Linked DNA regions of Struthio camelus. The protein of the gene in region 1 interacts with the protein of each later gene in a biochemical or structural test. Links are inferred from orthologs where the notes say so. Each region holds a gene or a part of one and is shown in the gene's direction. Other genes may lie near its edges. The genes, in order: TOPBP1, RHNO1, ATRIP and TICRR.

Region 1 (7,149 bases):
TATTGTCCAGTTTTCTATGCTGACACAGCTGAACGGGCTAGCTCCACCTACACACAGTCCACTGGAGAGCAAGAAGTTTCTGCTGCATTGTAAACTGTGTCTAGTGAAAAAGTGGAATTAACTTTTGTGAAATCAGTTCTGTGAAAGAAGCCTCGAAAGCTGTTGTCTGGATATTGTCTCTAAGGTGGCCACAGAAGAACACGGCACATACGCCTACCAAACCTTGTACTTGTTCATTCATATGGGTATTTGTACATAAATGAAAAGGATGGATCAAATTAGCTAGCTGGATATGCAAATGTAGGATTCTGCAAGGAAAGAAGTATTCTCTTTTTTTGTGAAAGTAAAAGCATAGCTTTATCCTGAAGGACCTAAAACTCCCAAAGACTGGAGGCTTTCTCTGTACACTAAGCTAGCAGGCTCATACACAGAATTTTTGAATTAATTCAAAAGGAGGTTAGAAATCGATACTGGTTCTTTGGAAACATCTCTTGACTGGACCTTACACAAGATATCTCACTCATTTAAACTCAGTGTCAGCTCCACGCTTTACCAGCCTAATTGTGTACTTGTGCAGATAACGCTAAATTATGGAGGTCTGTGATATAGAATCTTTAGAAGGGATAAGGGAAAATGTTATATATTTAAAAGAGCTTCTAATATTTCAAGGTATTGTTTCATTGTGTACAGTCAAGTACCAATATTTTGGGTCTTTTCTCATGTTAGTCTTAACTATTCGATGTCAATACCTAAGTTACTCAAGAGTTTGGGTATTTCAGGAGGCTCTCTCAATCAATTGCTGTTTTATATGTTACTCATATTGAAAAGCTAATCAAATATACAATGGACTAACGTTGATCAGCAAAGCAATGTGTTTGCAACATTTAAACATTACAGTATTACACATGGAGCTTTAACTAGGGTAGATCAAATGTGTACTATCAGTCAATAGGGTTTTGTTTTTTTCAGTGCAGTGATTTTTTTGCCATTTTGCTAACCAGCATAGTTATAGGGAAAAACTTAAAATATGAAATTAATGCAGTGGTAGTGGCTGCAAAAACACAACAGCATTAGAGGTGTGGAAACGTTTTCTAAATAGGGTTGACCCAGATGTTTACAGAGATAAGCATATGCCATGAATTTTTAAGTTATCAAAACATAGGAACAAGTGAAAGAATTCACTGATCCACAAAGTCAAGGGGCACTTCCTGGTTTTACAAGTAGGTATCATTTGGGGGCTACCAAAAATGATACGACCATTTTTATGCCATTTGGTAGTTTTAAAGATAATAAAAGCTTTCTTAATTAGTAAGATTGACGGCCATCTATGACTGGGCTTTTGCTAAAGGTCAGATCCTGCAGAGCACTTGAACACACAGAAAAATTGAAGAATGGGGATACTAACGTGCTTAAGGTCATACCTTATCTGCACGATTACTTGATTCATGCCAAACTGTCCTTCCTAGTGTTTGTTACATTTCCCCTAAGACACTTGGTTTTGGCCAACTCTGGAAATAGAAATATAAAAAAACAATGTTCTGATTGCTGTTCTTATCTGGTAGGGTTATTTCTGTTTCCCAGCTCCTCTAAATATCCTTTTAGATAATATTTCCAAATAAGCAAATGTTTCCAACAGCCCCAAAGAAATCTTACACTGCTAAGTGCTTGTGAAAACAGGAAGTGCAATAGGGAAATCTTTGCTCATCAGACCACTTGTTTCAAGTTATTCTATCGTATTAAGCACCACTTTTGGACTACATCCACATGGGAAGTATAAGAAAATTATACTATGTCTTCTAATTCACAGTCGTTAGAGATGCACATCCTTTTTTAAGGCATTGTTGCATCAGTCACCTTCTGGACTTTGTATATGCTTTTAAAACAGGTAACTATATCACTATAAGTAGAAATCAGGTAATTTCAGCATAAAATGCAAAATATATGCATTTCATTTTTAAAGGGATAGGAAGCTACATGCAGTAACTTTTGTCAGGCTGGCTTTTTTTTTTCTTCTAGATCACATTTATGAAAATCTTTTTGTGATTTATTCTGTTCTCGACAAAATCATTCATTTGGACCCCAAGGCACACTGCCTTTAAGAAATTATTTTCTAGGTTTCAGTGCCATACACAGTACATAACCATCCCTGCAGAAGAAAAGGACAATCAAACACGGAAGAGGAGAGGGGCATGCTTTTTTGAGAGGTGTATCAAAGAAGAGCCCTGATCCTTTGCAGTATTATCTCCTATAGCAAGAATCTTTCCAAGTGACAAGCAACTTCCAAGAGGCAAAGTTGGAACTTTGAGAGTTTTGTGGTCCAGTGGATCAGCGGTGAACGAGCAGCTCTCAAGAGTTTCTATTACTTCACTTCACTGAGAAGGGACCATGCTTCAGCAAGCGAGAACAAGCTGCTCACTGTAGTAAGCAGGGAACCATGCTTCGAGGGGACATATCAAATAAGTGCTCAGTAACACTGCTGGTACATTGAATTAAGGACTCTGCCAACAGACTGTAATAATATTTTGTATTATACAATCCATTAAAGTTGGTTGACTTTTGTGTGTTAGATTTCTTGATCCTCTCTCTTCCCCTCTGCCCTCTTCTTTTTGATAGCCCAATAGAATTAAAAAAGAAAGAAGAAATTCCTCTTTATAGCAGGTTGCTATAATGCTGAAAAAGCAGGCAGAAAAAAATGAGAGTTTAACAACTGGACAAAGAACCAACATCATCAGATAACACATGACCATCAAGACATGATCCCTGTGCTTAACTGCTTGTCACTAGTTGTCTATTAAATAGCCTATTTTGGTTGATACTACACTTGTTTTTGTTTATTTTTACACACGGAAGAGGTTTAGCCCATAACTCACTCTGACCCTAAGAGGATGAATACTAAGTGTTTTAAAATACATAAGCATAGGAAAGAGTTTTAAAGATGTTTAGTATCTATCCCAAGGCACTGAAGAGATAACCTCCAACAATTAGACTTGCACACACGCTTACTCAGAGTCCCTTCAGTTTTTAACATTACGGTGCCATCATGTGGCCACACTGTAAGGTTTCATACTGCCACTTAAAAGACTCGCTTTCATCAGTGGTTTTGGTGTTCTTCCTCTCCCAAAACTTTTTTCTTCTCAAGATGCTCTTCTATCGAAATGACTTCCTCCACTACAGGCAGCATGAATATTACACAGACAGCAGCAAGCCTTAGAAAACACTCAGAGCACCTAGGACTAGCGGCCTGCCGGAGAAGTGGGCATTGCCAGCTTCTGATGATTCAGGCAGTTGAAAGATACGGGAGAACAATACAGAACGATACGGGAGGAGTGAAGCTCGATTAGCTTCTGAACAAGTTTTCCACATGCTCATGCTGTCCTCTGCTCCAGAAGGCGTGCACCTCAAATTCCTATGCATAGCTTGGAAGTCACAGGAACGAAACAGAACACCCTCTCTACGCTCTTTCCCCCGGAAGCACAACTTAGATGGCACTGGGATGAGCACGCTTCCAACCTTTCTCAGCCCTCCTGGCAGCTGCCGTACTTCCCCCGCCGCTCTCAAGCACAAGGTGGCAGCACCAGCACCCTAAGGCTTTTCAGAGCGAACAGAGTGACGGCCTGACCCTCTCTGGAGGGCAGATGCCAGGCATGGGCCAGGCTAGGGCTAGGGAAGCCGCCTTTGCTACCACCTCTTATGGCAGTAACCGTTCCCCGAGCAGCGGGAAGAGGCCTCCTCCAGCTGTCCCTGGCGTGAACCAGAGGGGACAGCAGCGCAGAGCGCTCCTTGGCTAGACAGCACGGATAAACAACCAGGCTGCGGGGCCGGCAGAGGCCGAGGCTGCGGCCCTCCACAGAGGCCAGGCAGCGGGAGCCGGGCAGCGCCTCAGCAACCCCAAGGGCCAGCGGGGGCGCTGCCCCTCCGCGGCGCCAGTGGGGGCGGCGGGGCCGCCACGGCGCGGGGCGCGCGAGGCAGCCGGCCCCCTCCCCTCAGCCGCCACAGGGCGGCGGCGGCGACACAGCCCACACCCGCGCCCGTCCGGCAACACCACCAACGGCCGGCCCGCGTGGGCACGTGACGCCGCGCAACGGCCGCCGCCGCTCCTCCCCTCCGGCGGCGCGTGCGCCTCCACCCCCCCGCCGCCCCGCCCGGGCTCCATGTTGCGCCTGCGCGGTGCGGGGCTCGGCGCTTCCCGCCAGCCGCGCAGGCGGCCCGGGGTGGGTGACGGGCGGCGGCGGCGGCCCGCAACGGCGGGGCGGCAGCGCCGAGCGAGCCGGCCTTCGGGGAGCGCTTGGGGCGGCGGTAGTGCCAGTGGCCTGCGTGAGGCGGGGGAGGGGAGGCTCTGTGGGGAAGGGGCTGCCCCCTGCGGAGGTTGGTGGCGCTGCCGAGGCTGGGCGGTGCGGGGCCGGGCCGCGGTGCGGGGCCGGGCCGAGGCGGTTTGCGCAGCTCCTGCGGCGGGGGTGGGGAAGGTGTTGGCGGCTGCTGGCTGCAGGCGTTAGGTGTCTCTCCGGACGAAGGTGGCAGAGTCATGAAACCTGTGTGGTTTTGCTTTCCAGTTAAAGGATGAAAGGTAGTAAGGAGCCGTTCTTTGTGAAGTTCATAAAGTCTTCTGGAAACTCGGAGTTTTTTTTTAAAGCTCTTGAGGTAGGTGGGTTTGATGACCTTTCTCAGTGAGGTTGCCGTATTTATTTTCTATGTAAGCGTCTTCTGTGGTTGTCTCGGGATGTAGTGCGTTTGTACGCATCTGTAGATAACACATTTCAGTGATAGAGATGCTCAGTGTTGTTATTAAAGTTTGTTTTGCATGATTATTCCTAGATCAAGAAGCAATTCTTTTTCATTGTGTTTATTTATTACTTGTAATGTGATAGTTCCATTCAGAAAACTCTTCTACATCTTGTAGATTCTCACAGAAGAGGGATTCTGTGGGCCTAATGTCTTGCTAAAGGTACTGAGGAGCCTAAAATTTGGAGATCAGCTCTGCAAAGAGCAACTGTCCAGTACAGCAAATAGTACCATGGGAAGTACTATTTCTCTTGGAGGGGAGGAGGGAGTAAGGGGAGGGAGGAGTGAATAAACGGTTTTAGCCTCCTCTGAAAACCTCTTAACGTTTAATGAAGTAAACTGGAAGCTTGGCAAATCCAAATGGTGGTCACTCATCCAGACTACTGAAGATTTAGTAAGGACAGTTCATTTTTCTCCTCCTCCTGGAGGTTAGTGGGAGTTAAAGGCACTGTCTGGCAGGATGAGGTCCTGAAGGTTTGTGTGCTGAACATATAGTTCTGAATATTGTGAAGAATTGGGGAAAAAAAAACAGGAGATATCTTTAGCCTTCTTTTCTACTAATATGCTCTTATATAGTTTTGTTGTAAGCTCTTTTAAGTAGACAAGCTTTTGTAGTTTCCACAGGTTTAACTGTTTGTGATTTGTGAATTAAATAAGTGTAATTGTGTGCACTGTTTTCCTGCAGTCCATAAAAGAATTTCAGTCAGAAGAACATCTGCAGATCCTTGAAGAAGAAGCAGCGCTCAGTATAAACGAAAATGATAAATCCCTTTACATTTGCGATCCTTTTAGAGGCGTTGTTTTCAGTCATCTCAAAAAGGTCTGCTACTCATCAATTTACTTTTAACTATACTCTCTTTTGTAGGAATACTCTGTCTTTTGTAGGAATGCTCATGTCGATAATTATACTCTGCATGTTTTCTCTTTCTTTACTGAATATAGTAGTCCATAGTAAAAATTCCAATGCATTTGTATTTAGGGAAGAGGAGGGCTGACAAAGCGTAACAATCATCTTGAAGCAAATGGAAAAATAAATACAGTGATCAGTTCTGATTCTGCTGTAGTCAGTGAGCTGGCTCTCGCGTTTTTTTGCTTCCCCCAGTAATGTAATTTTGTTTGACCTCCAAGAAATAATGCCAGCAGACAAAGCTAGGCTCGCGAGAATTCTGTGGCATGTCAGCTGTAGCATCCACTGCCTTAACCAAGGCCAGAAAACGTGAGAGGATGGTACTGAGAATCTGCATCAGAAAATGAAAAAAAATGTTCAACTACTTGGAGCTGCTAAAGGAGGGCAGACAATGACCTCTCCTTCCCCAGTGTTCTGGGACAAGGAAAGCTTTGTTTATACCGGTGTGTCTTTCTGCTAATCTTTGTTTTTTCTTTGATTTTACCGCAGCTCGGTTGTAGAATTGTTGGACCACAGGCAGTCCTATATTGTATGCAGTCCCAGCGATGCGTCCCAAGAGCTGAATATCCTGTGTATAACATGACCATGGCCGATGTAACAGTATCCTGTACCAGCCTTGAAAAAGATGTTAGGGTAATGGCCCATAATGGTTGTTCAGCTAATTTTTCTGTGACATTTGCTTCAGATGGCTTATTGCTAAGCCAATAGTCTTACTATATAACGTAAAAGTCTGCCTGTTTTTATATATAGGCTCTGTAGATGGTGTGTAAATTTTTGTATATAGGCTTACTATATATATGGTATGTATACATGTCTTTGTAGTGTGTATATGTACATTTATGTTACATAAGAATGCATATAAAATTGTAAGACATTAGTCTTGCTACTGTAGGATTAATTGTATGTTTTAGGGATTCTATTAGCTGACTTCATCTTTAGGTGGATCACTTAGCTTGCTAGTTTGTCTGTGGCTGTCATGCTGCAGACAAAGTACTCTATTTCTGGTTACTCAAACTACACGGTAAAGATTTAATATCTAGTCAGCCGTGGTTTATCTCAAGTAGTTTAATTCACGTCCTTCATTGTAAAAGTTTCCTTTTTATTTATTCCAACATCTATTTCTAATTTATACTACCTAAAATGCCAACCATCAGTACATTTTCACTGATATAATATGGTTGTAGCCTCTTTATTAAGGGTATCTTTTATATTCAGCTTATCAAGAATAAAATGGAGTTAATGTCTGGTATTTTTAATGGCTTCCCGAAATATTGATTTTTTGGATTTCCAAACAGATTTTTAGGAGAAACCATAGAGATTTGAAATTGACGGGGTTCTGTTTGTTTGTTTTTTAAGGTGAGCCTGCATATGATGTAGGTTCTTTTTGCTTGAAGATTTTCTATAGTTTCTTTTCCCACCCAGGAAGAAGTTCATAAATATGTGCAGATGATGGGTGGACGTGT
Region 2 (7,386 bases), on another chromosome or scaffold:
TCAGTGATCAAGCATCCCACCACCTTTCCTATGTGGCATGAGAAAAAAGGATATTGGAAGTGGAACACGGACATCTGGAATGAGAGGGCATTTGGGGTGGGAGGTGTTTAAATTAATTTCCATTATGCTCTGCAGGCTGCGGAACGACTTTTCATTTTCATCCAAAAGCCTTATGATATTATCACCCTGTGGCCCACAGCAACTTGAGGGTCTGCATGTTACCTTCCAACCTGGCTTAGCCACATGTTTAAAATAAGGGAAGTGATCCTCAATCCAGGTATAGATGTCCTTCAGAGTCATACGCTTCTTCTCAGTGCTGTTGATGGCAAACTGGATCATGGCCATGTAGGAGTAAGGGGGTCGTTCTGATACTGAATCCTGCCAGGAGGAGGAGGAGGAGGAGGAAGAGGAGGAAGTAGGAACGGTAGCAGCAGAATCTTCTTCAGTCTGAGAGACAGAAGGAACAATATATGAGGGCTTGCAAAGCCAAGGAGAAGGGCCATGGAACACCCATGGATCCTCCAGGTCCTGCTATTCAAATCAGTAAAGGGGAATCTCAGGTTACTTAGAGATGGTCATGCCTGGTTCTTTCAAGTCTTCTAATCCACATGCATTGCTTCCCTATCAATAGTTTTAGTGTATGCTCTGTTGTCTCCTCCTGCTTACCTTGATTCTTTCCTGCAGAGGTATTCGGTTCTCTTTCTCTGTTTCCTGCTTCACGGAACATGGGCTTAGTCCATCAGATCTCATCTTCCCCAGCCATTGGATGTTAGTGAGACTATTATCCAATATAGAGCTAGCTGCCTCACTGCTGCCTGTTGGGATAACAAGCCCATAGCTCTGTTTACTCATGAGTAACACTCTTCCCCTTTAATCCCAAGTGCCAAAAGGAAGGCCTGGCCACTCTTCCCAAAAAGGTATCTCTGTCTCAGGATAGGGACAAGACAGTATTGCAAAGATAGTATCTTGTGGAGATATCTTAAATTCTTGATTTCATGTGAATCTGCCCAATTCCTGAAAAAAAGCTGCAGTCCTAAAATCCCCACTGAAACCAAACTATTGCTCTCAACCAAAAATAGGACAATGTTGACTGAAGTACTTTGAAAATTCAAGTATTTTTAGCTAAAGGATAAATCTGATAGGCAGAGGCCAAGAAACGTGGTAGCATAAGCTCAGATATCTGCAGATTTTTGAGCAGCAGTGATGAAAACTAACAGATATGGTCTTACTGTTTCTGGTGAGGCTATTTGTAGCAATATAGTTACTGGAGCTGCCTATGTGTAATGGTAGACAGTACTATACCATGGGATAAGATTTGTTACAGCCCCAAAGCAGCAAAGCTTTTGTTTTTTTTAAGTTGTAAACACACATTTGATCTGAGCAGCCACTCAAAATCCATCCCACTTCTAGCATTTGCCCTGAAGTTTCATGAAAAAGCCAAGAAGGAAAGAGACTTGCCACACAGTTATTAAAGGAAGGGAAATCATCTCTGCTTCAGAGCTCTAGGCCCCTGTGTTTTGTTGCTGATTAGAATGCTCTATGCTAGTCTTGATTCCAGCCATAAACCTTTTGCTAAATGGAACTTAGCATTTTGTTCTTCTAGTCTTGATTTCCTCAAACCGAATCCTCTTTCTTCCCCAGCACTAAAATTTTGCTCTACTATATGCACCTTGGTACGCCAGGCCTGTCTCTTGTACAAAAATATATCCATTAAGATCCTTCAGGATTCACTACATACAAATAGCTAATGCATATCAATTATTTTGTAGTTAACTGAATAGTTTTCACTATTGCATCCTGATAATTGGACACTACACTCATTGGCACGCTTCAGGTCTCACTCTCTACATGGCAGGACAAGAAAAGAGTAAAGACTACATACCGTTGCCTTCCTGTTCCTGCCCGACCACGGAGTCAATTCCTGAGTGCCAGAGTGCTGTCCCTCCTGCCAAACCAGGGGTCTGGATAACATTCTTCTCTCGTTCCCAACCATGTGCCACCTTGAGCGCTGTACTGGCTTTCTGTTCTGATGGGAGATGCTGTGACGCTGCTGGATCTGCTGAACGAGAGGGGCCCCCACTGCTAATGAGAATGAACTTGTTGGGCCCATTGCTGCCACATTCTTTTCCTTTCGCTGTCAGTGCCTCAATGATGCTCTGGATATCAGCACTTGTAGGGATGGCCACCACTTGTGTGTTGGGCATAGTAGGATGGTTGACGATCTTTATTCCTGCTGGGAATTTCTGCAGGCCACAGTCCATTTTGTGTCTGGGTTCGTTGCTGTGTTGGTTCCCTTGGCTATACTCCTGCTTAGGAGTCTTTTTACCCTGACTACTGGGCTCATCTCTTGCTGAAGTACTGGATGCATCATTCTGTGGGAGGGTCAGTTTCCGTCTTTTGAGAATTAAGGGCCTGCGAGGGCTGGTGCTCATTATTGATCTCTGCAGTCACTCTCCATTGAAAAGAAGAACAAATCCTGCAAAACAAAGGATGCAAGGTAAGAGTGTGAAGGGAAGGAACAGTTAGGAAAGGTGCAGCAATTCACCAGGGGCTGCACACACATTCTCAGCGATTGCTATGAATCTAGAAACAAGAAAGGAATCAACAATGAATGCTTTTAAGAAGATTCACAAAACTGCTGGAAAACAGCACTGCACTTCCTTTATCCACACCTTGTATAAACAGGACAGGAGAGATATTTGCAAAGCAGATAATTTGCATCAGAAGTTGAGAGCCATAGAGTACATAATAATGACAAAAGTATGCCTGTGTGCCTTACAGATACAAGATGTGCCTTACACCTCAAGACTTAGTTGTCAAATGACTTATTCAGAATCAGTCAGCAAGCTGGAGGGAAGAGAAGCTCAAACAGAAATCACAGAACACCACTGACAAACAGTCCTCACTCTCATATCTCATTGCTGTAATCATCAGATCACACAGCCTGAGAGAAAAGGGGATTTAACAGACGGTATAAAATCTAGAAAGCAAAGATCTCTCTGGAGATTGTCTCCTGGACACTACAAAGTCACACAATAAACACACCCGAAGTGAGAAGTCCTTTAAAATAAATTCAGACTAAATGCTTTGGCCATTCCTTTTGTAGGCTTGTTAAGAACTAGAAAAATATTCATCTCAGAGCAGCGTACCATTTTAATTTCAACCTTCTGGACAAAAAACATACATACAAAACACATAAATTTTAGAATGGCAGGAAGAGGACAGGACAAGGGAGTACTTCAAATTCAGAGACACTGATTTCAGGGTAAGATGCTGTGTGGCCCTTTTGAGAACACCACTGACAAATATCATGCCAATCAAGAATTAGGCAGAGGTTGTCTCTTGTGGCAAACTATAAAAGAACAACAGCATGCACATTGTATTGATTATTGATCATTTGGAATCATAGGCAGAATAGAAACAGAAAGAAAAGATGTCATTCTGTATTGGTGGATTTGATTCAGCCAGGCAGGAAACAAGAAAATTCTCAGTAAGAATCACTTGCACAGCTACAAAAGGGAAAAAGCCCAACAGATAAAATCTGAGTTGCTACCTGGTGTGCTGGCAGTGGACAGCCTGGGATCAGAGGCTGCCCAGCAGCTGGAGACCACCAGCAGAAATACTCAGCATTACACAGAGGTCATGTCACCCAAGTACACAACAGGCCCCCTCGCAATCTGCTCCACTCCTTTAAACAGAGATCCCACAAAACAAAAATGGACGTATAACTTTTAGCCAGTTTCCAACAGGATGAATACCTACAAAAGCAAGTCATTTCCTAAAAAGGCCCCAAGCTGCTACTAGTAGAGGCCCTGGAGAAACCCTGTTGTATGCACAGGCCCATGGGGGCAGTAAGGAGAGGAGCACTAAAGGGCCAAACACACATCCCCAGCTCTTTTTTCTCCCTAGGATCAGCCCTCTCCATCCCCCATCCTTCCCTCCCAGACCGTGGGGTGCTGCCAAGCCTGCCACACTCACTGGTGAATCTGGGCTGCCTCCCCCAGAACCCTTCCACCAGCGCCCTGACATGCCTAGGCCCAGGCCCAGGCCCAGGCCTTTCCCTCACACCAGGCACCCTGAGCACTTAACACAGCCCTCACATGGGTGCCCAGCCACTACCTCCAGTCCGCACGAGGAGATATCAGAGGGGCGCGATGGGTGCTGGGTACAGATCGCCACTCACCAGCTTCCCAGCCAAGAAGACGTAGAGGGAAGAGGCAACGCAGACGCTTCCGGGCTCCGCTACCGCTCGCGGCGCAGGTCGTTTCCCGGTTTGAATTTGGCGCCTGGCGGCTCGTTGGCATCACGTGCCAGTCTGGCCCAATGAGATGCAGGCCTGCGAGGGGCGGGGCGCCGCGGGCCAATCGGCGGTCGCGGCGGGGGATACGGATGTGCCGGGAGTCCGCGGGGCGTTGTGGTTGTGTCTGCTTTACGTGTTGGTGGGTCTGCGTCCGCGGCGGGCCTCGCTCTTGGTGCGGCCCGGGATGGAGGCGCTATGGTGGGGGTTCCCCTCCCCCGGGATGGTTGCTCAGCGGGTGCTGGAGGAGCCTTCTCAGTGCTCGGCGCGGGTCTGAAGGGGAACCGGCGTGGGAATGGGTGGAAACTCTTCCTGATCAGGTCCTTGTGAGGCTGTGAGTCCCTGTGTGATGCCCTGGTACCTACTGCTGTACAGAAAGCACTGACTTCAGTAGTTTGCCTTAAAGGGTGCTTTGTGAAGGGCAGCTGAGTTTTGTTGGTCAACAGATATTAAAACTGCCTTGTTAGTGAAGTGTATGAAATCCACTAAAGAGGATGTACAGCTTTTGCTAAAGTCTGCTAAAGAATTAAGTTGTTGTATAGCCTTTTATGCGTTAATCAGAAAATGCATTTCTCAGAAAATGTTCTCTTTAAACTTCTTCACCTGTGCTAATCTGCTCTTGAATGCAAATTAAAATTCTATGTAGAGTTTTTCACTAAGTAAATAAAACTATGCAAAATATGTAGAATACATCAGGGAAATAGCAATTTATGTTCTGAGTTAAAAAAAAAAAATAAATTCTTGAAATGGAAAAAATAGAGGTAGCTAGCAACTAGAAATGGAAAGGCTTCTGGTCCTTCCTAAATTTAGACTAGTAGATTGCAGCCTTGCAAAGCAGTTTTATTCATGAATTGAAAAAGGAAAAGAAATTTTTTGGACTCTCAATTCCTAAACCATTTTTCAGATATGACTAAACTGGATAGAATACTTATGTGAATAAATTATTTCTTTAAATCCTCTGGAGAGCTGGTTCAGTAGTCCAACAAATTCATTCATGTTTGTTTGTTATTTTTCTAGCAGCTTAGTGGTTTGAATTTCCTTAAAATTTCAGTGACTAAGCCTGTTCTGAATACAGTTGTTCTTATATTTCAGTGTTTAAGTCAGGCCTGATGTCCTTCTTTATCAATTTCTTTCAAAAGTTTTTAATGAAGGAAAAACCTTAAACTCACATAAGGATATCTGATTTGTGTATCTAAAATGCATATTTCCATAAGAAACTAATTTTCCCAATAATGCCAAGTCTTGCTTAAAATGCCAGTTTAGAATTCCTTTTGCAGTTGGAGCATTCCTATGTTTTTTGCCTGTCTCGCTCTCCCACTGTATCTGGCTACCTGCTTTCATGGTAGCCAGAAAGCTGGAAGGCTTTTAATTATCTATCATATTGTGTTTTTGCTAAATCTACATGAAATCAGCTAGAAGGTTAAAATCTACTGATGTAAATGTGGAGTTTACATAGAGATATGAACATGGTACTGTGGCATAAAGGCTTTACTTCTGTTAAAAATTAGATTTGAGGTTTCCAGACAAACTTATCTTAAAATCCATTTATTTGCCTTCTACAGATTTGAGAGCACTTTAGCATCTTCTTGGGGTGCCTTCCTCTTTCTCCAATTGATACTAACAAGCATCATGAGGTTTCTAAGTGGTTTTACTATACCTCTTGATGCCTCCAAAGAAGAAATGTACCCACAAGGCCAGGAAAGCAGAGCTGGTATTCCTTGAGAGGCCGCAAGAGGGACCTATCCATTCCTATGAATCTCCACTACCTTTGGCTGAGAATCCAAGACGTGTTCCTACCAAACCTATAGACCAAAACACCTCTCCTGCCTGGGTTGGTATAGATTATCTTTCCCTTTGTGTCCTGCCAAAATGGTTTTCAAGATTCTCTTGCATATCTCAAAAAAAAAAAAAAAAAAAAAAAAAAAAAAAGGCAAGCTATCTGTCCCAGATACTGAAAATCAATAGCAAGGACCTGCATTCATTATAGTTGTCCAAAACATAAATAAGTGCTTTTTGAGTTGCTTCATGTTCTTGTCACAAACAACCAGTGATGTCTTGGTTATTTGAAAGCATAAAACTGTACAGTGTATACCGATCAACTATTACTAATTGTCTTCCAAAAGACTAACTTTCATGAGAATACTTTCTGCTTTATATGGCAACTGAAAATCCTGAACATGATAAAACATTATTCCAAGGTGCTGTTCCCCTCCACCTCCTTCTAACTGCTTGACATAATTCCTGACCTCTAAATGTTAGATGTTAAAGTACTAGGCTTTTCATTTAAATCAGGCTTAAGTATTCTGGTGCTATGCTAAATTTAGAACAAATAATCCTGGAGTGCAGGTCTGCGTTCCCTAACTTGTCGTCTTTTTCCATTCTGTGTGTTTTGAACAGTTTCTCTCCAAACAAGCCATTCTAATGGGTTCCTTTTCTGGTTTGACAGAATATTCCAGGGATTGCTTGCACCGTCCTAATACACGCTTTATATTATATTGTGTAATGTGAAGAGTTTTAAGCAAACAGCTGCTGCAAAAATGGACACTGTTCCCATGCAACAACAGCTATAGCTTTGGGCAGCTCTATTATTGTTACTTGGATCTCTAAGCTCTATACAAAGCAGCTCCAAGAAGCATGGTTTCAAACCCATGAGAGACATTCCTCTGGCCCTGGGGACCTAGAATTATTTTTGTGGTGTCTTAACTTCAGAGCAGAACATGTTCAGTTTTTTCCTTTTTAATTTTATTTCTACATATATAAACATATGTGGTGAAGATGATTCACTCACTCACTCTTAGTACTTCAATTCTAAATGTACAATGATTCTAAAATGTATTTGAAGCCAACAGCACCGAAACTACTAGATGTTATTCCATTTGAGAATGCTGGTAGGTTTGCAACTTCCTGAAGCATCCTCTGCAGATCTTCTTTGAACTTGTCTCAGTGGCAACTGAGATTTTCTGCTCATCTGGAGGGTATATTAAGACTTTCATAAGCTTTTGACTGCTAGGCTCCTCTCCTGGTAAAACATAACTTGCATGTTCTCTAAGCCAGGAAGTCACATCTCAAGGTTAGTAGCTCATTAGTGT
Region 3 (7,618 bases), on another chromosome or scaffold:
TTATATTTGCGATTAAAGCTTCTTCACCCTTATTCATTGCATGGAAAACAAGCCTCAAGAAAGTAAACTCCTATTTGATTTGACAAAACTATTAGAAATGGTATGACAACAAGAAAATTCATGCAGTATTAAGTAACACCAAGAAAAAAGTAAGATGACTATGACTCCCTGCCCTACCTCTCCTCTACCAATATTACTGTAATAGCAAGCAACAGGACCAAGACTGAAGAATTGAGTACTGAGTGACAAAACTACAGAAGTGCGTCCAAAACTCATTTACTATGACCTAGTACGACAGGCCCACTTCACAGATTGGAATTTTAAAAAGTGGTTTTTGACAAACCTATCCATCATATTTCATCTTCATAAATGCTGTAATGTAATTCTGTAGGCCACTTTATAGCCTAACTAAAGGGATTTTCAGCCCACAAGAAAAAAATGCTAGCAGAAATTCAGATTTCACCTCCTCTTCAAGATAGACAATCGATTTTTGTGCTTCTTTTTCCTTTCACTCACAGCTGTTAGCCTTCTCCTAATCAAGTGTCAGATCTGGAATAAAGATGTCAATTGGGACACATTTTCACTGCTGTCCAGTTTGAATTTCAATGACTCAAACATTAGAAATTAAGTTAATCTCTGCTAGATGACCAGTCATCCAACTACTTCACTCTTTAGTCAGTGCTTTGAGAATCAGAACACAACAATTCACTTCTCCATTTGGAGACTTACTGGTAAGGCTATCCTAGCACAGCTGGAATATATCACAGTACATATGAGCAGATAAGATCACTTTAGTCAAGTTACAAGAAGGCAATAAGAAGAAAGCGAGCACAAGCCTACCTTACTTTAGATGTCACTTGGTCTACGCAAGTTTATGTTATATAAAAATAAATATAAATGTATATTATTCCAGCGCAACAAACAATCAGTGGCATAAGACCAGCTCTGGAACTAAGCTTATTTTGCATGTTCTGTAAGATACCAATTCAAAACACTTCCAACTTAATCACATCTCTTCCATTAGGGAAATTTGGACTTTCCATACCATATCTACACTCCAAAGTAATAAGCATGACTCCAAAACCTCCAATACCTTGACAGCATTCTGGTAAACACAGGACCACAGTGACTTATTTCAAGATTCATTAAAAAAAAATCATGGACAAAGAAACATGTCATTGGCATTGAAATAAGTTACGAAACTCTTACTGGTGCTCAGACTAAACATCTTTTTTTTAAAAAAAAAGATGTTAACAGCAATAATGACTGGATTTATACAGTTCTAAGTTATCTTTCTTCACGATTATACTAAACAGCTTCCCCTTTCCAAGTTGTGTTTACATATATAAATGCAGGCAAACACAGCTCCCAAATTATATACAGTCTTATTTTACTGCAGTCAGCCAGCCAGCCAAGGTTCCACTAAAGCTAGGACTGATGTTACGAGCTCTGATTTTGACTAACTGGAAAGTTAACTAGACTAACTTTGTGTTAAGCAGAGATCAGGGTAGAAAAGCTTTCTGAGCTAGCTAATGAAAAGTAGCTGAAAATATGGCAAGAGACTGAAAAATTCATGTTGTAACACTGCTAACAGATTAACACTCATTAGGCAGAGGTCTGGCATTGGGATCACTAGTCCCAAGTGAAACATTTAAGTGAAACAAGAAGGAAGGAAGGTCTGGTTGTAACAAGGGGAAAAAATGCTATAGTTGTACAGCAATGTTAAACTTGCAACTTCCTTTTTTTTGTTGTTGTTTTTTTAAAAAAACATTCTCCTGGGTTTCACATTTAAGACTCAAGTCAAGCATCCCACAGAAAGAAAACAAAAGAAAGTAACACCCATGTAAGTATTCAACTTCCATCTCCCTGCCAGAAAATAGTTCTATATGCAGCAGTATTAAAAAAAAACTGACAAGGGCTCATCAAGAAAAAAATATAGTTATTCACTAGTTATTCAACTAACAACCATGTGTATAAACAGGCTATTTTAGAGGGTACTGGGGGCTCCAACAACACAGCACTGGAGTTGAGAATTAAACTGCAATTTGGAAACACTATATTAGCACAATTTAGTAGCAGCCACTTAAATACCTTATTTTTCATTAGAAACAACTTCTAAATAGCACCCATACACAAAACAAAAAATGCATTTTTTTTCCAGTTTTCTAGAGGACTTCTATGGCTTTGAAAGTTGAAAAGTCACATCACGGAGAATAGTAGATGAACTACCACTACCATACATACAGCTCTCCTCCACAAAGCTTTTTTTAGCCTATCAACTCAGACTTACCTTTCTGGTTATTCTGTTCACCTGCAGTGTCATTTATCTTTAGCAAGAATCCCTAGAACAGAAAAAAGCAAAGCCATTATCTTGTTCATCCTTTTGAAAAGAAACTGCGTGCAAGTATTCTTTGCTCCACTTTCCCTCAACTTCAGCTAGAGGAAAAGGAACAAGTAAAACAATAGCTACATCAGTAATATCATATATTGTTATTTAAAAGTAAAAACAATAGTAATAGTATAAGCCTATTCAGTTACCCAGAGAAAACCTAAATGAAGAACAGCATTAAGACTAAGTATAAATCATGCTCCTTTCACATGATTTAAATCAAGTCCTTAACACAAGTCGCCATAGTCATATATGACAAGCAGTCACTAGACCTTGCAAGAAAAGGTTTTAAATAAAGCAAGCAGTTTTGGTTTTTACTTCCTCTATGAGGAGCGTCTCTCACTAAACACAAACAAATAAAACCTATCTTAAAAGCAGCAGCTACCTTTCTTTATTGCTAGACTTCAAAGCCAGGCATTACGCAAACATTCTCAGTACAAAAAAAAAGTTTCCAGATGTGAATAAGAATACTCTTAATGATTTTAAAAAATTAAATCTCTCCATAATATTCCCAGTTTAGTAAACAGCTTACTAAAACTCAACTCCTTACAGAAACAAGAAGGCCTTAAACCAATATCTCAGAAATAAAATGATACAGAATTTATCTTCACAACAACTATTTTCCTCCAAGACTGCTCCTTTTCATGTATACTTTTTGCAGATAAGCAGCAGCTGTCCTGCCCTCTTAAGTTCAGAGGAACCACCTGTGGGTCCTGCTCTCTTTACTATCACTTCAGCAGAGAAGTTGGGATGAGAGGGGACAGCTGAGAATCCTGCTTATCACAGCTTTCTTTTTGTGTTAAGAAGTTATCGCAAGCTGCCTAAACAGATGATGACACAAAAACAGCACATACATAAAAGGAATTATAATTTGATGATAATTTCAGTTTGCTGCAAATAGAGAGAAATAATAGGGAAATCAAAATGAGAAATCAGAGTTCTCCTGCAGAATCAGAAGTGCCCAATATTAACAGCACAGTATTTTTCACTTAGGGACCACCAAGTGATTTGTAACACTGAGAAGCATTACTAACCCTGTTCTATACATGTGCTGCAGAACTATGTGCTAGCCTACACTTAAAGGTTCCTCAGCATAGCTGCTACCTCACACCTACCTAAGTTACACACAGCTGGCATCAGCAGAAAAGTATATTTTCCAAACCCATTTATACAGCTTGTCAAAACAGACTAAGGTACAACAGCAAAAGCACACCATCGCCAGCAAGTTAAGGGCGAGTTTTCTGTACAGAATTTCTGCAAAAACTGTACTTTCCCGACACCACTATCTCAAAAGCGACGAGAAAAGAGAAGTGAATTCCAAATATCTTGCCCACCTCAGGGGAACAAAACAATAGAATAACCCGTTCCTGAGACCGTTTTCTCTGTTAAGCGACTGACCACTAAACAGCACGGTTGCCCATGGCTCCGCAGGGCGAGCGAAAACTCGCTCCGACGCCCGCCTCTGCAGCGACGCCAGCGCGGGCCAGCGCGGCAGCGCCGTCCTTCGCGGCGGGCGGCTCCGCACGCGTTACAGCGGCCCCGCTCTTCCGTTACACCAGCCACCGCCACTGAGGCGGAAACCCCACACAGCCGGCCGCCCGGCTAACGGCCGGCCGCCCGGCCAGCGCAGGAGCGCGCCGCTGACGCCCAGCGACGTCACTGCCTCTCTCGGGCAGGCCGCGCCGTGACGTCACCAGCCGCGGCTGACGACGACACCGCCGGCCCGGCCGCAGCGGCACCGCTGTGGCCTACCTGGGCTGCACCACACGGGGCCCGACCGCCTCGCGGGACCTCACTGCCACACCACGGCAACGCTCCGTATGACGTCGCAAGGCCAGCTCCCCCCACCGTCTGCCCTGACATCACCTGCTCGCGGCCTGACGTCAGCAGCCTTAACCGCCGCCGCGGAGGGGCGGGGCGGGGCAGGGCCGCCCGCCTCACGCGGCCCCGCGACCAATCAGCGAGGCGCTTACGGCGCCCGCCGCCGGGACCAATCGCCGGGTTACACTCAGCCGCTGAGCGGTCGGGCTTGGCTTGACCCTCGGGGGCCGCGGTAGGGCCGGTGCGCCGTCAGCGTGCTGCCATTGGTCCTGGGCCGGCCGTGCCCGCCGGTGATTGGCGGGCGGCGCGGCGCGGGACGCGCGGGGCGGCCGGTGTGCCGGGGGGAGGGGCGAAGCCCTGCGCGAGGCGCCGGGGCCGGGGCCGGGGCCGGCCGTGCGCCCCCGCCATGGCGGCGCTCGGGAGCAAGAAGAGGAGCAGCGCGGCGCTGTGGGGCGCGGCCGCGGCGCGGGCCGCCCCCTGCTCGGCGCCCGGGCCGGCGGGCCGCGGCGGCGGCGGCCTGGACAACGGCCTCCCGCCTTACAAGCGGCCCAAGAGCGGCGAGGCGGCGGCGGCGGCGGGGCCCGACCCCTTCGGGGACCACGACGACTTCACCGCCGACGACCTGGAGGAAATAGACATCATTGCATCGCAGGCGCTGTCGCAGGGCGGCCCGGCCGGCGCCGCGCCCGGGGCAGGCGCCCCCAAACCCGCCCGGGGGGCGAGGGCCTCCTTTGCCCTGCGTGACGGCAGCCCGCAGCCGGCGGCGGGCAGGCGGCGGGGCGGCGGCGACCCCGCCGCGGGCCAGGAGACCGGTCAGTCCGCCTGGGGGGCGTCTGGGGCGGGCGGCGGCGGGGGCGGGCGGTCCGAGGTGCGGATGCAGTGGTGATGGGGGCGGCTGGCCTTCCCCCGCGTCCGCTCTTGGTGCCGGCTTGGCCTTGGGTCCGAGGTAATGCAGTTGTTGCTTTGAGTACCGCTTGCAGTGCCGTGCATGTTGGCTGTCAGATTTTTTTTTACTCCTAACCGTTAACGTTAACTAGAAAATGCCTAATATATCTCATATTAACAGTTGATTTTCAGATTTGCTTTGAAAAAGGGCAGTGCCTTGTTCATAAATACAGTAGAGGGAACTTAGATCCTCTAAGTAAGTGTTAGCGTTGCTAATATTTATAATCTCTCCAGAACAAAAAGTTATCTGCTAACCCTTACTCGTGCAGGCTGCAATAACTAAATTACCTTGAAGGAAATAATTGCAGGTACCGTGGGTCAGGTGGTAGTTTTGCATATATTCCCATATGTTAAGACACTAGAAATGGTTGCAAGGGGAAGGATTTCCTTCTGTTTTAAAGATTCATGCACAAGCAGTAATCAAGTTACTGTCATGATTAGGTGTGTGCAATTTAACTGTTTTTAGTGACAAAATATTAAAAAGTGTGTGTGATGGCAAATAACAAAATTTTGAGATGATAAATCAGCAGCGATGTGCGTCATTCAGGCTTCTATTTTTTCTGCAACAGGAAGCAATTCAGAAGACAATCTGATTAAAGATGCATTTCGGTTTGAAGTATTACAAACACAGCATGAAGAAATTAAACAAAAGGTTAGCAATGTCTTCTCTTCTCCTTTAGGTTCCTTGCTATAAAGGCAAATATCACATCCTTCTGAGATGGCTAATTGAAAGGCCAGATGAGTTTGGTTGCAAGTATTTCTTTCTAATCAAGTTGTTTTGTAATCTTTGAAATGATGCATTGATATATAAAAAGCATTGTGCTAAAACCAGCTCTAGTAATGTAAAGAGCGAGAGCAATATTCTATTTCTTGTTTGTTTCAGATTAGCATACGCTGATTTGTCAGTTCTAATTGTTTTCTGTCAGATCTGTTCTCCTCTATTTGTTCATTGAGCTGGTCAGCAAAAGTAGTTTTGTGAAACTGAAAGATTTGAGAAAGTCATACTTAAATTTCATTATGTTGCTTTACCTCCTGATGCCTCATGGAAAGCTACTACAGGGAAGAAATAGATGCAGAGAAGTAAGAACATACAAGTAGCCATACCAGCTCCATCCTTTCTTTGGCAGACAGCTTAGGAAGAATAGAAGACCTGAGCAAGTTTATAGTGATATTTTAGCAGAATGTTGTTTTATCCTCTGGTAAAATTTCATGTAGTTATCCAGATGTAGTTAACCTGATCCAGAAGTTGTATACATGTGTTTAGTATCCTTTGGTGTATTTTTTAAAACACTTGTGTGGTGCTTTTTTTTTTTTAAGCCCAAAGAAACTCCTAGCGTCAAAGAGGTCTGCAGCCTAACAACGTGTTGTGTCAGGAAATTTCTCCTTTGATTTTATTTTGAAGTTCACACCTAGTGATTTTCAGTGGATGTATCTTGGCTATTATGAGAGGCAGTGAACAAGGAATAACTTTTGTGTAGCGCTCGCACTTTGATAGACCTTTGTTTCTTCACAATTGTGTCTTCTCCTAGACAGAAGGTTTCTACTTTCGTCATCCTTGCCTCAGTTTTCTGAATCTTTTCCAGTTTCTTTTATATCCTTCTTTATTGGGGAAGATCCTATCTGCACACCATGTTCAATATAGGGGTAAAACATGTTTTTATATTGTGGTTAAATGTATCTGTCTTCATTGTTCTTCGTGCTTTTCTGAATAGCTGCCTCTATTCTAGTCCTTTTTCTGAGCGATGATGTCTATTCAGACAATATTGGAGAGCATGCATGTCATGAAGATACTGTCTGGGGGCGGTAGTTTGTCTTAGGACAGCATGCTTTTTGGGTGCCATTTTAGATGAGATATTATAGTTAGTTTATCATCGTTCTCATCCAAACAGTAAATAGATTGTTGCGTGACTAGAGTACTTTTCAAAGAAAGAGTTTAGTCGCGGAGGAGGAGGAGAACGCTCTCAGACACCAGTCAGGATGGTATAGGAACATATACCTTTGCTGTCATTTTATAATTCAATTAGAGAAAACAGTAGTTGAGCCTGATTTATTCAGAAACAGATTAGAAGCAACACTGCAGAATGTCTGGACTAGGTTATGGAAGTGTTTTCTCTGTAGAAAGTATAAATACGCTTAACTTTCAACCACAGAGATGATGATACACATCCATACTTCTGCTTATAGACATGATCTAATGGAATTCATCTGTTTGCAGCTGAAAGAAATGCAAGATGAAATTCGTACTAAAAATGGAGAAATTAAAATTTTGCGAGACTCAATGCTGCAGATGGAGTGTGCTATGGAGGAACAGAAAAAATCATATATGCTATTAGAACAGGAAAAATCTCAGACCCTAAGTGAAAAAGAAAAAGAGTTCTCCAGAAAGGTTTGTAATTGTATTAGTTATCTGTACATCACATGCAGACGGTAGTTTTATGACTTCAATGATGTCACAGGCCATTT
Region 4 (7,330 bases), on another chromosome or scaffold:
GAAAGAGCAGCTCCTAGTGACACTTTGCTGGGAAATTCCCATGTCCCGAGTCTGTTTTCTGTTCCCAGGCAGTCCCTGATAAGGCAGGTTTTGGTCACACTCTGCTAAGTGTCCTCTGCAGGCTACTGGGACAGGGCGCAGGCTGCAAGCTGCTGGATGGATGCCAGCTGCAGGAGCATGAATGGCTTAGCTCTTTTTGAGGGCTTGTACTCTTAAGGGGTTTACTTACAAGGAGCAGCAGCAAGAGCAACACCTCAGACAGGACAGACGGGCCCAGGGCAACTGAAGGACCTGTGGCTCAGCCTGCCAAGAGCGTTCATCTTCAGGTCCCACTGAGAGCTCCCAGGCTGGGCTGAGCCAAGGCTCTGTCCCCCACAAACCCTTTTGTGCAGTGTTACTGTGTAAATGAGGCTACTCCTGGAGTACCTCCATGGCTCCCGGCTGGTGTGACATACCACCAGTGGAAGGAGCAGCATTATCTCTGGAAAGACCAATAAGTAGCTTCAGAGTGGTTGATGGCACCTGCCTGAGCTTTGATTCCTTCCAATTGTCAACCCTACAGCCTCTATCCTTCCTCCCGCTCAGCAGGTCTTTGGCCAGGACAGAGCTCTCCTCTGACGTTCACCCCAACATGAAACAGGACTGGGGCTGCAGCACTGTATCCACCCACAAAAAGGACTGCACACAGGCAGGGTTTTGCTCCTCTCTGATTCAAAGATCAAGAGGGAAGAGGGCAAGTATACCCAGAGAGATCTCACCAGAATGACTTGAATGATATGATGTTGATTGTGATACGTTGTTTACCTGGAGGGACTACAGGAGCCAGGATCAGAAATAGCACATCAGAACAGTTAGCGTATGAAGGAACAGAGTCAGGACGTGATCTTCTCCCCTTGTTGTTTCCTCCCATTTCCACCGAGGAGTAACCTGCAGTACAGAGAGAAGCAGCGACACAGTAGGACCCCATTTTTTCAGGCAGTTATTTACACCATAACAAAGTGTGCAAGGGCACTAATCTGATCTGCAGTATTTTACACCTGCCTTGCAGGGTGTGGAGCACAAGAAAGAATCAGGTCCAGCAAAGGAGTGGTAGAAACAGGACTGAACTGAGATGCCTTCGTTCACAGTCCTTTGTTGAGGTTGGGCCTTTTGCATCGACCCCACACCTACATATCTATACTATGCAAGGTCTAATAGAGTCTATCGATTGGTTGTAGACGCAGCCCAGTCCCTCCTGTCACACCAGGGCTCCCTGAAGAGTCAGTGTCATTCAAACCGCAGATTCCCCACCACCCCTTTTAGCCAGGGAGACCCGGTGTCCTTCCCTTGCTCTTGGGTGGCAAGTTTCTCCTACTTACTTGAGCGGATCAGCCCCTAGTTCTAGCCCATTAAATCTGTTTGCGCTCACAGTTCCTAATAAATCCGAATGGCCACTTTATTGCCCACTTATCTTTGTTGCTTTATAAATACGACTGGCTGCTGGTGACACTAGTTTATGCTGGGGCATTCAAGCTCCGTAGAGAAGGGTGGCGTAGGTATCTGGACAGCTCTGGTCTGCAGGGCTTTCTCTTGTTTTCTCAGTGTGATCCATCAACATTTGGGTCACACCCAGACTGCTAAATACCCACAGGGCAAGATGTGTTCCAAGACCCACAAGTGGGCCACGTCTAGGGGGCAAGCTAGCTGAACAAAACACATGTTTCTTCTGTCCTCACCCTGACTTCAGCCCCCTGTACACACACTCCAACCCTACTCCTTTTCATCCAGCCCTGATTCCAGAAGCTCTACCCTCTCCTTTCATATTGATTTCCATTCCCTCCTCACACTCCTCTGTCGTCTCTATTCACCCAGCTTCCAGCTGGCCCCAGTCACCCCATCTCGTGTGTGTTTTGTTTCTTCCAGCTCCAGCTAGTGCTGCCCCTGCTGTGGCTTTCTTCAGCTGGTAGCTGTGCCCCCCACTCTGCTCCTCTCCGACGCCCTCGAGAGCCCTGCTCCTCTGCTTTCTTGTCATGCTCCCTTTCTGGGTCCTGGTGTCTAGGTCTCACTTTCTCTCACCTCATGTTCTCAGCTACCTCAGGTTAGCAGGAGATGTACTGATTCCAAAAGCAGGTTAGGTAAAGAAAGGTCCATCAGGACATTTTATGTAAGAAAGGGGCACAATGTCTGGCTCAAGCAGTCTCTGAAGAACAGACTGCTGGAGTGGGAAGTTAAACTTAGACAAGCATCTCTTCTCATGAACCAACTGCTCTCTTAGCTGGGATCCTGAGCTAGACGGATGGTTGCGTTGCCCCAGTGTGGACCTTGTGTTGGCCTCAGTATTCCCTGGGCAGGCTCAAATATGAGGAAAAGCTCTGGAGTGGCATCTCTGCCTAGGAATGGCCTGCCTGTACCAGCCTGGGTCTGTAGGACTTTCAGGGGAGCTGGGCAGGGCTCCTGCCATACCTAGTCTCTTGTCCTCTCCACTTGGTCTCAAGCAAGGAGGGGAGCTGCTCAGCAGCCTACCAATAGCCAGCATCCTCTGTGCAGCTCCAGGTGGGAAGCTTGATGGAAGCTGCAGAGGACCAGTTTTTGTACCAGTATTGACCTCTAGTGGCAAGCAGAACCTGGATTCATGAGCAGTCAGCGTATCTCAGCATCATGCTCCAGTTCCAGAGCATGGAGCTGGCTTGGGCCCAGCCTGGCCAGCACAAACCCAGAGCTATGGATCCCTGTCAGACCTGCACTGCCCACTGCAGGGCCACTCCAGGCCTCTGCGCCTTGTGCCTTAACCTGCTTGTAGGGGAAGGGAATTGGTTCAGCCACAGGATGATTTTTGGTACATAACTGCTAGGATTGGGGCTGCTGGTCACGATGAATCACATCACCTAGGAGAAGGTGACTGATCTCAGCCACTCAGGAGTGTCTACAGGAATATAGGCACAACCAAGGAGAAATTGCTTCTCTGTCATGCAAAGAAACCCAGAATCCAGAAGACACATACTGACGTGAATGATATGTATAAAGAGCAGCAAACACAAGGTATGTGACTCTGCAATCAGACAAGCCCTGGCTTGAGGAACAGTTCTTAAAACAAGAAACAGCCACAAGCTTTAAAAGCAACCTGAAACCAGAAAAGCTCATTACTGAGAAACATCTAATAAGATATCATATAGTAATCTCACCCGCTGAGGAGTTGAGGTCACCCCCCCCCCCCCCCAAACTTTCACTCCAGGAAGTGCATTTTAATATCTCATTACGGTAGCTTTAGTATGTTTTATTTGCTTTTATTATTGAAAAAGGACATCACCTCTACTGCAAGATAGTTGTGATAGTCTTTGTATCCCTGACTTGATATCATCTGAACTGACTCCAAGCTTCAAGCATCCAAAAAATATGTATGTGGTCCTCCCAAAAAATTATTGTGACTTCAGAAGGTTTTCCAGTATCACTTCTTTCTATGTGGCTCCTAGAGGGTCACCTTTTACAAGTCTGTCCACCGAAACCTGAAAGACGTGCCGTAAAACCACGAGCATCCACAGGCCGCAGAAGCAAGGAATCTCCACGTGCCGGAGCGCTGTAAGGTCCAAGCGGTTTTTTCAAGGGGTTCACGCTAGTGAATAGAGGGGTGTCTCCACGTCCCTGAAAGGGACAGGACCGGTACCGGCCACAGACCACTTATGGCTGAAGGAAAGTGGCTTCTGACTGCTGCAGGAGCTCGATTCTGAAAGGGGTTTTCACTGGAGACAAACATTTTCGACAGGTCTAGACCAGCGCTCAATTACAGCTCGACTAGGCCTGCACAGGCAGCGCTGGAGTCGCCATTAGGCTCGGAGACCCTGACTACCACACTGATGTGATGGCGATGACAACAGCGTGGCGTCACATCTTTAAAGCCCAATGAGAGCGAGGCAAGGAAATGACATCACCGCCACGCTCCCCCTTCCGCCTTTAAATTTTAAATTCTCAGCGGCGGCCAATCAGCTGGCTCCTGCGGCTGGCCCCGCCCCCTTCTCCGCGCGTCATGGAACGTCGCGCTCCCCTCCCACACGGGGTCCGGCCAATCATCGAAGAGCACCGCCCGGAAAGCCAGCGCCGCCCCGCCCTTTTGCCCGAGCTTTCCCCTGCGGGCGCCAGCGCGGGCGGGGCGGCGGGCCAATGGGGAGCGGCGCGGGAGGGGGCGGGCCGCGAGGTGCGAGCCAATGAGGGCGCGAGGCGGTCGAGCGCGCCAGCAGTCGGAGCGGGCGGGCGGCGATGGCGGCGGGCGGGCTCTGAGCGGCGCGCGGCGGTGGCGGGCAGCTGTTGGGCTGGCGCGCGGCGGGGCGCCGCTGTGAGGCGGCCGTTGGCGGCGGGGGGGAGGGGGGCGGCCGGCCGCCATGTCGTGCTCCCACAGCGTGGTGTTCCTGCTGGACACGGCCAGCCCGGCGCGGCGGGAGCGGATCCAGCTCGGCGCCCTGCGGCTCCTCAACCACCTGGGCTGCCGCCTCGGCCTGTCCCGCCTCCGCTGGGCCTTCAGGTTCTTCGACTCGCTGGGGGGCCGCGGCGGGGCCTCGCGGGGCGGCGGCGGCTTCCGCCCGCCGGGGCCCCGCGCTTGGGCCCGCTTCGAGGAGGAGCTGGCGGCGCGGCTCGGGGCGCGGGGGCCCGGCGCCGCCTTGCCCGGCCCGGCGCCGCGCGCCGCCCTCACCCACAACGGCCTCAAGGAGACGCTCCTCGATTACCAGTGGGACCGCCCCGAGATCGCCTCCCCCGCCAAGCCCCTGCGCCGGAGCCGCAGGACGGGGCTGGCCGCCGCCGAGCCCCCCGAGAGCCTGCCGCCCCCCGAGGGCTTCGTGAACGCCGTCTTCCTCTTCTCCCCCTGCCCCCACTCCCGGAGGGAGCTGCGGCAGTTCGTGTCTGGCAGCGACGCCCCTTCCCCTTGTGAGCCGCCCACGGCTCAGGAGCTGGCTGAGAAACTCTTGCCCAAGAGAGTCCAGGAGCTGATTGCAGACCAGAAGATCACGCTGTACTGGGTGGACACTGCCGAGTGGTCTAAGGTAATCGGAGAATGCTGCATACCTTTGCATTGCTGGTGATAGTGAACTGTCTTCCTCAATTACTTCCCACTTAAGAAGGGAGAGTTTGCAGTTTTATGCTGTAATCTTCAAGTGGAAAGAAGAGAGGTCAGGGTCTCCAATAACTACCAAGTAATCCTGTTTAGCAAGAGGCCAACAACTGGAACGGTAGTTATCCCTGTAGGGATTAAGATATATCAGCGACTGACTGACTGCAAAGTGTTTACTAAAGGGTTGTCTTGTGCTTTGAGTTAGGTAGGAGTTATAGCTGTTCAGGACTGTGAATAAGCAGACTGGCAGTTCAGTTATCTAGATACTAAATTCAGGAATCTGTGCTTGAAGATACTGGCTACCTCTTAATTCAATGGGCATGGTATTTTCCTTTCTGTGTTCCTATGAGGGCTACTTTAGTCCATAAAAACACTTGGTAAATGTTTGAATTGCTTTATATGCATTTCATATGCCGGTTCCTATACAGGCCTGTAATCTATATTCGTTGTTTGGATAGAGTTCACTGCCGAAATTAACTTGAGACCTGTCTGCTGCTTTATTGCAGTTACTTGAATCTCCAGATCATGTTGGATACTGGACGATGTTTGAACTGATCCACCAGACGGGAGGCACCATTTTGTCGTCAGAGATCTTACTGCAATGTTTGAGTCATCACGGAGCAGATCGTGCTCGCTTTCTTAGAGATTCCAGTTCCTCTGTGTCACAGTTCGTGCCATGGACTGCGCTTCTGCCCTTGGACTCCACCTTGAACTTCTTGTTTTCAAAGGCCTCTGCCTTCCAAGCAGTATTCCCCCAGCAAGAAGGGACATTGTTTCTCAGCATGCATGGTAATAAAAAGCGGTAGTTAGGCATGCATAGAAATAACTCTGATTTCTCATGCAGGATCCTGATGTGTTTCCCTTGTGAACAGTATGCATAGAGGTAACTTGAGATATTTAAGAGCCTAAGTGTATATTTAAAAAAAAAATAAAAGTCCTGAATGTGCTGCAGTGCCTCTCCTAGGAGAGCTATTGGCCCATATTCCAGACTTGATCTCTTCAGTTTTCCATTTTTCTCAGAAGTCTGGTTGTATGAACAGTTCTCTGTTGATCCCAGCTTAGTGTATGCTGTTTTCTTCTATATGCTTTATCTCAGCTACTTTAATTCACTTCATTTAAACAGGTAAATGACAAACACCTTCAAAAGTGATTAGATCAGCTGTAAAGGAGCATGCAGTGCATGTTGTCTCTTTCTTTGGTGGTCCCTTAATGCACTTGGCTCCTTTATGAGAGCTCGGGGAGGTCAGTTGTGTAATACATTTACTGCAGAGCTACTCTCAGTTTAATCTCAGAATTTATTTTTCTTGCATTGAAGTTGTCTCTTCATTCAGATGAAAATTGTTTTGCGTGTTATAGAATTTTTTTTTAACCTTACATAGGAGAAGAGAAGCAGGAAAGCTGTGTGGTGATTCTGGAACCCCTAGCCATGAGCCAAAGACAAGCACAGCATCCAGTCAATATCTTCCTGAAAGGTACCCTGACAGGTTGGAATTTGATGCAGGCTAGCAACTTTCTCACAGAGAGCTGGATATTGCGGAGCTCCCAGGCTGAACAAGCGGAACAAAACAGGTCACTGTTTCATCAGCTTTTAAGGACTCTAGTGACTGAAGAACTACACATGGTAAGTCTTTCTGTTTGCCCTGAACCAATATCTGTTCTGAAATGGGCTGTTACCAAAAAATGACAGTCTTGTGTGTCATGCTCTGAAGACAGTAATAGTGGTATTTGTTGCATTGTGGATTGCTCATTTGGGTCTAAATTCAGAACCCTCTTTAGAAAATCAAGCAAGCTTATAACCTATTTGTAAACTGTGTACTACCTGAGGCCTCTGGGTATTACTAGGTAATATAAACATCCCTTTCTTTTTATGTAGGTTGCTGAGGTGTCTCTGTCCAGAACTTCATGCCCCTGCACTGCTGTTTTATCACCGCTTGCTGAGAGTACTGCAGTTCTGATTATATTCTGTTCTGAGAAGGCAGCTGAAATTCAGCGATGTAACCTTGAAGGAGATGTAGTGGAGAGCTCTTCCCAAGACCATACCCTTCACCTCCCGGATATTGTTAGTAGTGTGCTGAGTAAGATTGACACATCAGTGGAAGAGTCTCTGGCTAGTTCTGGTAGGCACTGGGAAATACAAAACTTATCTCCTTCTAATCATCTGTAGATCTGATTTTGGGGCAGAGGACACTAAAGCTAATGATTTCCTCAGTAATGAGAGTGATTTAGGTGCTTGTTTGTTTTGTCTCTTATAGC

The links.
Region 2: the proteins of TOPBP1 (region 1) and RHNO1 form a complex in vitro, tested with the Homo sapiens proteins (2 studies listed by BioGRID). The link is inferred for Struthio camelus from reciprocal best matches to the Homo sapiens genes TOPBP1 and RHNO1.
Region 3: the proteins of TOPBP1 (region 1) and ATRIP form a complex in vitro, tested with the Homo sapiens proteins (2 studies listed by BioGRID). The link is inferred for Struthio camelus from reciprocal best matches to the Homo sapiens genes TOPBP1 and ATRIP.
Region 4: the proteins of TOPBP1 (region 1) and TICRR form a complex in vitro, tested with the Homo sapiens proteins (2 studies listed by BioGRID). The link is inferred for Struthio camelus from reciprocal best matches to the Homo sapiens genes TOPBP1 and TICRR.

Annotation. Positions count from the first base shown.
Region 1 is NC_090943.1:50,368,643-50,375,791, reverse strand, and holds the start of TOPBP1 (DNA topoisomerase 2-binding protein 1), read left to right. Parts: upstream 1-4,138; 5' UTR 4,139-4,211; exon of another isoform or gene 4,212-4,365; intron 4,366-4,550; 5' UTR 4,551-4,557; coding exon 4,558-4,638; intron 4,639-5,464; coding exon 5,465-5,599; intron 5,600-6,175; coding exon 6,176-6,319; intron 6,320-7,108; coding exon 7,109-7,149. Other genes in the region: C-C chemokine receptor type 5, read left to right, coding at 1-93. UniProt on the Homo sapiens protein: Scaffold protein that acts as a key protein-protein adapter in DNA replication and DNA repair. Composed of multiple BRCT domains, which specifically recognize and bind phosphorylated proteins, bringing proteins together into functional combinations.
Region 2 is NC_090942.1:88,361,068-88,368,453, reverse strand, and holds the start of RHNO1 (RAD9, HUS1, RAD1-interacting nuclear orphan protein 1), read left to right. Parts: upstream 1-4,374; 5' UTR 4,375-4,439; exon of another isoform or gene 4,440-4,631; intron 4,632-5,859; 5' UTR 5,860-5,960; coding exon 5,961-6,128; intron 6,129-7,017; exon of another isoform or gene 7,018-7,386. Other genes in the region: FOXM1 (forkhead box protein M1), read right to left, coding at 223-447, 667-815, 1,883-2,432. UniProt on the Homo sapiens protein: Involved in microhomology-mediated end-joining (MMEJ) DNA repair by promoting recruitment of polymerase theta (POLQ) to DNA damage sites during mitosis.
Region 3 is NC_090955.1:22,012,210-22,019,827, forward strand, and holds the start of ATRIP (ATR-interacting protein), read left to right. Parts: upstream 1-4,616; coding exon 4,617-5,022; intron 5,023-5,724; coding exon 5,725-5,807; intron 5,808-7,370; coding exon 7,371-7,541; intron 7,542-7,618. Other genes in the region: protein BTG1-like, read right to left, coding at 2,291-2,342, 4,142-4,252. UniProt on the Homo sapiens protein: Required for checkpoint signaling after DNA damage. Required for ATR expression, possibly by stabilizing the protein.
Region 4 is NC_090953.1:9,976,139-9,983,468, forward strand, and holds the start of TICRR (treslin), read left to right. Parts: upstream 1-4,318; 5' UTR 4,319-4,352; coding exon 4,353-5,009; intron 5,010-5,583; coding exon 5,584-5,866; intron 5,867-6,456; coding exon 6,457-6,698; intron 6,699-6,950; coding exon 6,951-7,194; intron 7,195-7,330.